Linked DNA regions of Rattus norvegicus. The protein of the gene in region 1 binds, or shares a complex with, the protein of each later gene. Links are inferred from orthologs where the notes say so. Each region holds a gene or a part of one and is shown on either strand. Other genes may lie near its edges.

What was found.
Region 2: the proteins of Rbsn (region 1) and Rab4a are in contact, whole or in part, in a crystal structure (PDB 1Z0K), measured with the Homo sapiens proteins. The link is inferred for Rattus norvegicus from reciprocal best matches to the Homo sapiens genes RBSN and RAB4A. Residues at the interface, in NP_001289307.1 of Homo sapiens: Glu441, Gly442, Trp443, Leu444, Pro445, Ser447, Glu454, Pro458, Leu459, Gln461, Gln462, Asn465, Ile466, Phe469, Asp480, Glu481, Thr484, Leu485, Asn488, Leu492, Glu495, Gln499; in NP_004569.2 of Homo sapiens: Tyr10, Leu30, His31, Ile34, Glu35, Ile46, Gly47, Val48, Glu49, Phe50, Gly51, Ser52, Lys53, Lys63, Gln65, Trp67, Arg74, Phe75, Ser77, Val78, Ser81, Tyr82.

Annotation. Positions count from the first base shown.
Region 1 is NC_086022.1:126,259,694-126,263,231, forward strand, and holds part of Rbsn (rabenosyn-5), read right to left. Parts: intron 1,512-3,538; coding exon 1,371-1,511; intron 1-1,370. UniProt on the Homo sapiens protein: Rab4/Rab5 effector protein acting in early endocytic membrane fusion and membrane trafficking of recycling endosomes. Required for endosome fusion either homotypically or with clathrin coated vesicles.
Region 2 is NC_086037.1:68,691,698-68,695,901, reverse strand, and holds the start of Rab4a (ras-related protein Rab-4A), read right to left. Parts: upstream 2,822-4,204; 5' UTR 2,700-2,821; coding exon 2,669-2,699; intron 2,662-2,668; exon of another isoform or gene 1-2,661. UniProt on the Homo sapiens protein: The small GTPases Rab are key regulators of intracellular membrane trafficking, from the formation of transport vesicles to their fusion with membranes.

The DNA.
Region 1 (3,538 bases):
ACTTTAATCCCAGCACTCAGGAGGCAGAGGCAGGCAAATCTCTACGTTCTAAGCCAGCCTGATCTATATCATGAGTTCCAGGACAGCCAGGACTACATATAGTGAGACCCCATCTCAAAAAAAGAATAGAGCTGGGAACGAACCTCTTGCACAGCGCTTGCCCGGCCCTCAGGTTCTACTCCCAGCTCTTGCAGTTTAAAAAGGAACTAACGAGGACAAGTTATAACTGTGCGCATGAGGAAAGTAAGCTGTACAGTGCCCTCACTTGTCAGATAACCTGAAAGGAGACAGATCTGTCAGTGGGGTCTACGGCTAGGCTGACACAAGAAAGCCCCAGAATGATGGCCCTGCTGCTGTAGTTTGGCCACTATTTGATCCTCAGAAGGTTCCTAGAGACACACACACTCAAAGGAAGGCACGCATACAAAGCATTTAGCACAGTGCTTAATTAAGAGATCTCAATTCGTTCCCTTCCACTTTCTCTCCTTAGCAGGACTTAAGGCCAGTAAGATGCCTATCCCTGAGGGTTTACTGATTGATGCTTTCTCAGTCAGCTCCTAGAACAATACCTAACCCAGTCAAAGTAGGAGGGTGACCTGTTGAGAAGAAAGGGTTCAGTGGGAGAGGGAGAGGATCAGAGAGGATGACAGATGAGGGTGTAATGACTAATCTTGGCTGTCAACTTTACAGTATCTGAATCAACTAAAATCCAAGCTGCCAAGGACTCCTATGAGGAATTTTCTTAATTAGATTATTTAAAACAAAAAGATCTGTCCTAAATCTGGGCCACATCTTCTGGTGGCAGCCCACATAAAAGGCTATGGAAGAAGGAACTTTGCTTTTTAGTCTGTTTGTCCTCAATCTCAATGGCAAATTCGCCCATTCTGTCGCTGCAGAATCCAAATTCTTCAGGACTGCAGCACAGACTGAAGCCCAGCAGCTCTCTAGGAATCCATCAGTTTGTGACTACAGAGACTAACAACTACAAGATTCTCAGCCTCTCCGTCTTGAGATAGCCAGTTTTGAACTACTAGAAACATATTCTATATTCTATCTGTTCCTTTAGAGAAGCCGGACTAATACAGGGAAAATATAATCAATGTGTGTGTGTGTGTGTGTGTGTGTGTGTGTGTGTGAGAGAGAGAGAGAGAGAGAGAGAGAGAGAGAGAGAGAGAGAGAAAGAGAGAAAGAGAGAAAATAAAATTTTAAAATTGAAAGAGAGAGAGAAATAAAATTTTAAAATTGAAAGAGAGAGAAATAAAATTTTAAAATTGAAAGAGAAATAAAATTTTAAAATTGAAAAAAAAAAAAAAGACCTAAAACAGGGTAGATATCTCATAAGCACTGAATGAATTAATAAATGTTCTTACCAAGCTCTTGAGGTTCCCACATGTAAGGATCAACCCCTCCATAGCTGAATGATTCGTATCCTTGGGTCCCTGGCTCCACACGATCATCTCCTTCTCGTTTCAACAACTTGTTCTTTGCTTTCCTAGCCTTCTGAACAAGATCTTGAAAAAAAATAAAACAAATACCACAAATAAGCCCAAGATTATATAAAAGAAATAAATGCACAAGAATATTCAGATCTCAAGAGAAATACAGCAGTAAGTAAAGACCTTCTTACCAACCCCACAGAAGTCAGGACCAGCAGAATGCTATTCATGTTTCCAACATACAGGCTAAGTACCTGCTTACTGCCAAGTTTAATAGTCCATCTAAACATAAAGAGCCAAATCGGGGTTGGGGATTTAGCTCAGTGGTAGAGCTCTTGCCTAGCAAGCGCAAGGCCCTGGGTTCGGTACCCAGCTCAAAAAAAAAAAAAAAAAAAAAAAAAAAAAAAAAAATTAAGAGCCAAATCAAATTCAATGAGGGAACCAGGATGGTAGATTTTTGTTTGTTTTCAGACAGGGTCTGTCTATGTAGCCCTAACTATCCTGGATGACACTACACTTACCTTGAACTAGCAGACATTCACCTAAACTAAACTAGTTCTCCCACCCAAAACTAAAGGTGTGTACTACCATGCCTAACACAGTCTTCACTTTGTAAACACGACTAAACTATCCTAAACAAAAAGGGCAGTCCGCACTATTTAACCACTTTGGACAATAAAGGGACTGTCTGCTGAGTAGATGTAGTCTTTCCAAAGGAGCCCAGTTAACCCACCCATGCATCTTTGAAAATAAAACAGAAGCTACAGTCAATTTTCAACCATCTTTTCTTCTGGCTACTGTAAAAGGGCTTAAATACTGCTGGACCAGGGTTGGCTCAAACCCACAGACACTTTCAGAAATAGTGAGTTGATCTTGTCTACTTAAAACTGACTCCAAGGGGTTGGGGATTTAGCTCAGTGGTAGAGCGCTTGCCTAGCAAGCATAAGGCCCTAGGTTCGGTCCCCAGCTCCGGGAAAAAACAAAAAAAAACAAAAACAAAAAAAAACAAAAAACTGACTCCAAGAGGCAAGTGAGATAGCTCAATAGATAAAAAAGTACTTGCCACCAAACTTAAAGACCTGTGTTTGACCACCAGCACCCAAATGATAAGAAAGAACTTACTCCAGGAAACTATCCTTTGACCTCCACAGATGTACCATGGCATATGCCCCAACCAACACAAAATAGATGAATAAATGTAATTTTAAAAACTGCCTTCGAAACCTGATACCTGTATGCAATATTTTGGTATTCCATTTTTTTGTTATAAATATGAATGCTATTAAGGCCTACATAAAATATTAAGGTCTAGATAGAATGTTAAGGCCTGTTATCTGTCTAGTGCTGTTACTAACATTATAAGGAAACTTTCTCATATATTGCTTCTGTTACTAGGAAACTTTCTCATGTCCAAGTTGATTATGTATTCTATTATGCTCTGTACCCTTGGAAACCAATCATGATAAAATCAGTAAAACTGCTTTGTATAGTTACCCACAACAAGTTTGGACCTGAACTCCACCCAGCAGCACTTCCTGAACCTGTGTATAAGCTTTTATGGTATTTGCTTTTATAAACTCCCCCTGGGATGGACCCTAACATAAGAGAGACACCTGTACCACTATAAGAAACTATTTGGAAAAGACTTCCATTTTAAGTAGAGGTCAAGTGAACTTTAAGTTCCCAAGACTTCCCTGGGAACTGACATACTACTTGGCAGAAAGAAAAATGTATGTGGGTAACTGACATCCTGGTTAGCAAGTTAAGACATGAATGTTAGACAAGTCCCATCTTGGTTGACAAGTTCAGACAAGGCAAGTCTTCTACCATAGTTGAATCCTCCAACCAATGGGAGCGGGGTAAGTGCACAGCGAAGGCATGGTCTATAAAGAAGTCCCCATCCCTAAATCCTGACTGGTGAAATAACTTGTCACAGATGTTTGTAAATTTCAGGCTTATTAAAAAGCCCTACAGGATCTTGACTTATGGTCACAGTCAGCTGCCAAGTCTGACCTGTGGCCCTGATCCATCAGTCTGGGGTGTGGCATTCATTAAGTCATACCTCTTTGACTGAGCTTGGTGTTTGAGTGGCTTGTGCAGCG
Region 2 (4,204 bases), on another chromosome or scaffold:
CACACACGTTTCCTCCATTGAAAGAAATATTAGATTCAGACTTAGTTAAAAATTAAAACCCTGGGGGTTGGGGATTTAGCTCAGTGGTAGAGCGCTTGCCTAGCAAGCCCAAGGCCCTGGGTTCGGTCCTGGCTCCAAAAAAAAAAAAAAAAAGAAAGAAAGAAAAAAGAAAAGAAAAGAAAATTAAAACCCTGGAAACAGGAACACATGTCTATAATCCTAGCACTTGGGAGGCAGAGGCAGGGGTATTGCCATACGTGTGAGGCCAACCTGGGCTACACGGTGAATTCTAAGCCATCCAGAACTATAGAGAAAGACCCTGTCTCAAAACAAACAAAAAAATAAAACTAAAGTCATATTTGGGAAAAATACCTTGAAATAAGGGAAAAGGTAAATATTCACAGGGCTGCAGAGATGGCTCAGTGGTTAAGAGCACTGACTGTTCTTCCTAAGGTCCTGGGTTCAATTCCAGGCACCCACATGGCAGCTCACAACTGTCTGTGACTCCAAGATCTCCCTCGCACAAGCATACACCTGGGCAAAACACCAATGCACGTAAATTAGAAATAAGTAAATTAATAAACAGGCACACACAAAATGTGTGTGCCTCCTGGTATCTTGCACATGCTAGGTAAGCTCTCTGCCACTGAGTTTTATCTCCAGTCCCTGAGGTAATACTAACAGTGACAGCTTCACGATCAGAGTTTAATCAGTACGCTGTGGTGAGCAAACCCTAATTAACTTTGCGTGCCGTGAAGCAGAGGGTGTGTGGTGATGTCCGCCTTATTACCTATCATTTCCTGAGAGAACCAAGGGACAAGGCTGCCTCCCATGCTGTCCTCCTCCTGCCTCACTTGGCCATGACACCGGGAGGCTTTCTTTGAGGGCTCTACTCCTCCCAGGAACTCCTCAGGCGACTCAAAGAAAAGGATGACAATGAGCTAGAGAGTGTATTTTGCTGGAGGCATTTCTTATAGTGGCTCCTGGCAGAAAAATCAAACCACACCACACCACACCACACCACACCACACCACACCACAGAGGCATACATAGGCCACCTGTGGCCTTGACAAAGCCAGTCACCCACTGGATAGTGCCTTTAGCGTACAGGGACAAGCATTATGCCCCAGTGCCACAGGAAGAGTGGATGCTGGTTCTGGGTGATAGTGGACCAGGCTGTTGTGTGCCTCATGACACCCTTTCCAGGGTCCCACCCTCTCAAAGTCCAAACCGCCGAAGTTCTTCAATTGTGTCCTCACCTTTCTCAAGGTAAGGTGCCCAAGCCACACTCCCAGACCTGAACCCCAGGTCTGCCTGTCCACTTGCCTGTCTCTGACCCATCTAGGTCAGCTCTTTCTCACACAGCCGTGCTGAATCCCTCAGAGCTGCTGCCTGGCTTATAATTGTTCACCCACTAAGGCCACATCTGAAATAAAAATCTACTCCTCGCTGGACTGCAAACTCTTGGGGAGGTTTCCATCGCACTCAGACAATGAGTAGAACCTTCCTGGAGGTACCCTGACCCCACCCTGTGGCAGGAAGAAAGCAGGGGGCACATACTGGATGGGGATCACCTGACAGATCACCACGATTTTCCGTGGGAGTCCCTCTCTGGGACCAGCACAGACTGAGTCAAAGTTTCAGGTCTCAGTACAGGCAAGCGTGGGCCAACCATGCATAGTAGTAGTTGTTTAGTCTTACCTCGGTTGGGGGAGGGGGAGCACCCAGCACGTGCATTGAGAACGCCTGGGTGCTGCAGGAGCAAACAAACAACAACAACAACAAAAAGATGAAAAAAAAACGAAAACAACAACAACAACAAAAAAAAAAAAACCAAAAAAACAAAACCACAGCTCCATATCCAAGGCCTCTGGCCATAAAGAGGAAATATATTTATAAATCTCTATAATGCAAACATATGCTGGAGGAAGGGAGGAAGGGAAAGATACAGGAGGCCAGGGGTCTCCAGAAAAGAGGTGCGTTCATCCACTTAAAACTCATTATAATCTCAATGCAAAGAAAGGAATTCCAAACCTTGAGAGGCCCACAGCCGTGCCCCCAGAGCCACTGAATGCAGGCGTGGCCCAGAACCTTCATCCCCGCGGTTGGTGCTGCAGTGAGGAGGGGGGAAACTCAACGATAAATTGGCTCTTCCAACCCTGAGCCATTTAAACAACCCAAGGAGGAAAATGTAGGGTGAAACCAGGGTCAAAGCAGGGGGGACCTTGGGAGAGAGATTCACAGCAGCTCTGCACAGCTGGGGGCACCTGCTGGCCACCGAGTCCAGCCCAGCGCCTGGCACCCCTAGCTCCTCAAGATTCCAACCTATCCTGAAACACCCAGACATTCTCAAGTTCCAGCTCGACCTTGACACCCCAAGAATCTCAGGCTCCCAGCCGCTGACACTTCAGGATCCTCAGTATCTCCACCCGGCCCCTAACACCCAGATTCTCAGGATCCCAACTGCTGACATGACTAGAATCCCAACCCAACCCTAAACAACCCAAGATTCTCAATATCTCCACCTGGCCCCTGACACCGCGAGGTTTGCACGACATCTCGATAGTCTAGACACCGGCTCTGGACACCCTGACTGACCCCAGCCCCCAACATTCCGGGACCCCAAGGCCTGCCCCTCTATCCTCGCACGCAAGCCCGCGCGTCCTACCGTAAGTCTCGGACATGGCGGTCTGCGCCATCCTGCCGCCACAGCTCCACGGGGTTCGTCCTCCAGTCTCCGCAGAGCGAGAGGAACCGAGTGTGGAGAGCCGGGTACGGGCCCACGGCGAGCCGGCCACCGGCTGCGGCCCAGCGGGACTCGGCTCCGCGCCTGCGCACCGCCGCCCGGCGAAGCAGCCGGGCGGAGGGGGGAGGGGCGGGGTCGCAGGAGGAAGGAGGAGCGAGGTTGGGGAAGGGGAGGAGGGAGGGCAAGAGAACTGGTTAGAGGCTCCTACTCGGAGGAGGAGGCGAAGGTGAGGGAGGATGAAGGAGGGAACCAGGAAGGAGGAGGGCGGGGCTCGGGAGGGGGCGCCTGCGCCCCATAGGTCCTCCCAGATGGCTTAGCAGTACAGACTCAGTCTTCCTTAAGTGTTACCTACCAGGCTAGGGTGCACAGCAGGCCGCCCGCCCGAGGGCTTGTTTTGACAGAAAGAGGGTTCACCAGCAGAAAGCCAACTCCAGCTCAGGCAGGTGTGCTTGGTCACGTGAACTCTCCTGCTCCCCGCTTTAGTGGACAGTGCAGTGTTGCGTGGCCCTGACTGCAGGCTAATTTCAAAGGTGTGTTCGGTTTATGGAACAATACAGGTCAGAACCTATTCCTTCTTCCGAGGAAAAGGGTCGGGACACTTATTGAACGGGAAACTGGGGACAGGAATTTGACCCACCTGAGCAAAGCAGGGCCTAAGAGCCTGCCTTCTTCACAGCTGCAGAGACCGGATCTGTGGAAAAATAAGACGTGGGGAGGGAAAGGATCCCCCTTCATCCTGGAATCTTGTTGAAGTCCCTTGCTGGCACAGCATGCGAAATTGACTGTTGAGATTGCCTGGCATGGTGTCCCTTGCCTATAATCCCAGCATTTGGGAGGCGTAGGCAGGATTGTTTCAAGTTGAAGGTTTACCTGGGCTACACAGCAAGGAGGGAAAACAGATGATAGAGACACGACTCCAAAAAAAAAAAAAAAAAAAAGTAAATACAATTTAAAATAACAAGAATGAGTGCCTGCACAATTCATTTAATATAGAGATATTTCATATAAGAATGTTAAAATAGCCCAGCAGTGTTGGCGCATGCCTTTGATCCGAGCACTGAGGAGGCAGAGGCAGGCGGATCTCTGTGAGTTCGAGTCCAGCCTGGTTCCAGGGTGAGTTCTCGGACAACCAGGGCTACACAGAGAGAGATCTTGTCTCAAAAAAAAAAAAAAAAAAAAATGTTAAAATAGCAAGGAACTGAGCTGAAGGCCTGAGAATGTGCGACCCTTGAGCTCTGTTTCATTTCTTTTCCAGCTGAAAATCTGCAATATTCAGAGTCGCTCACAAACAAGATTACATCCAAAACACCTGTCTTGCTTGGGCATGGCGGCACAGGCCTTTAGCTCCGGATCTCAGAAGGCAGAGCCAAGCACTGCTGAGTTAAAGGCCAGTCTGGGCTCCACAGTGAGTTCTAGGCAAGCCAAGGCTGCATTGGGAGACTAACCCTACCTCAGGAA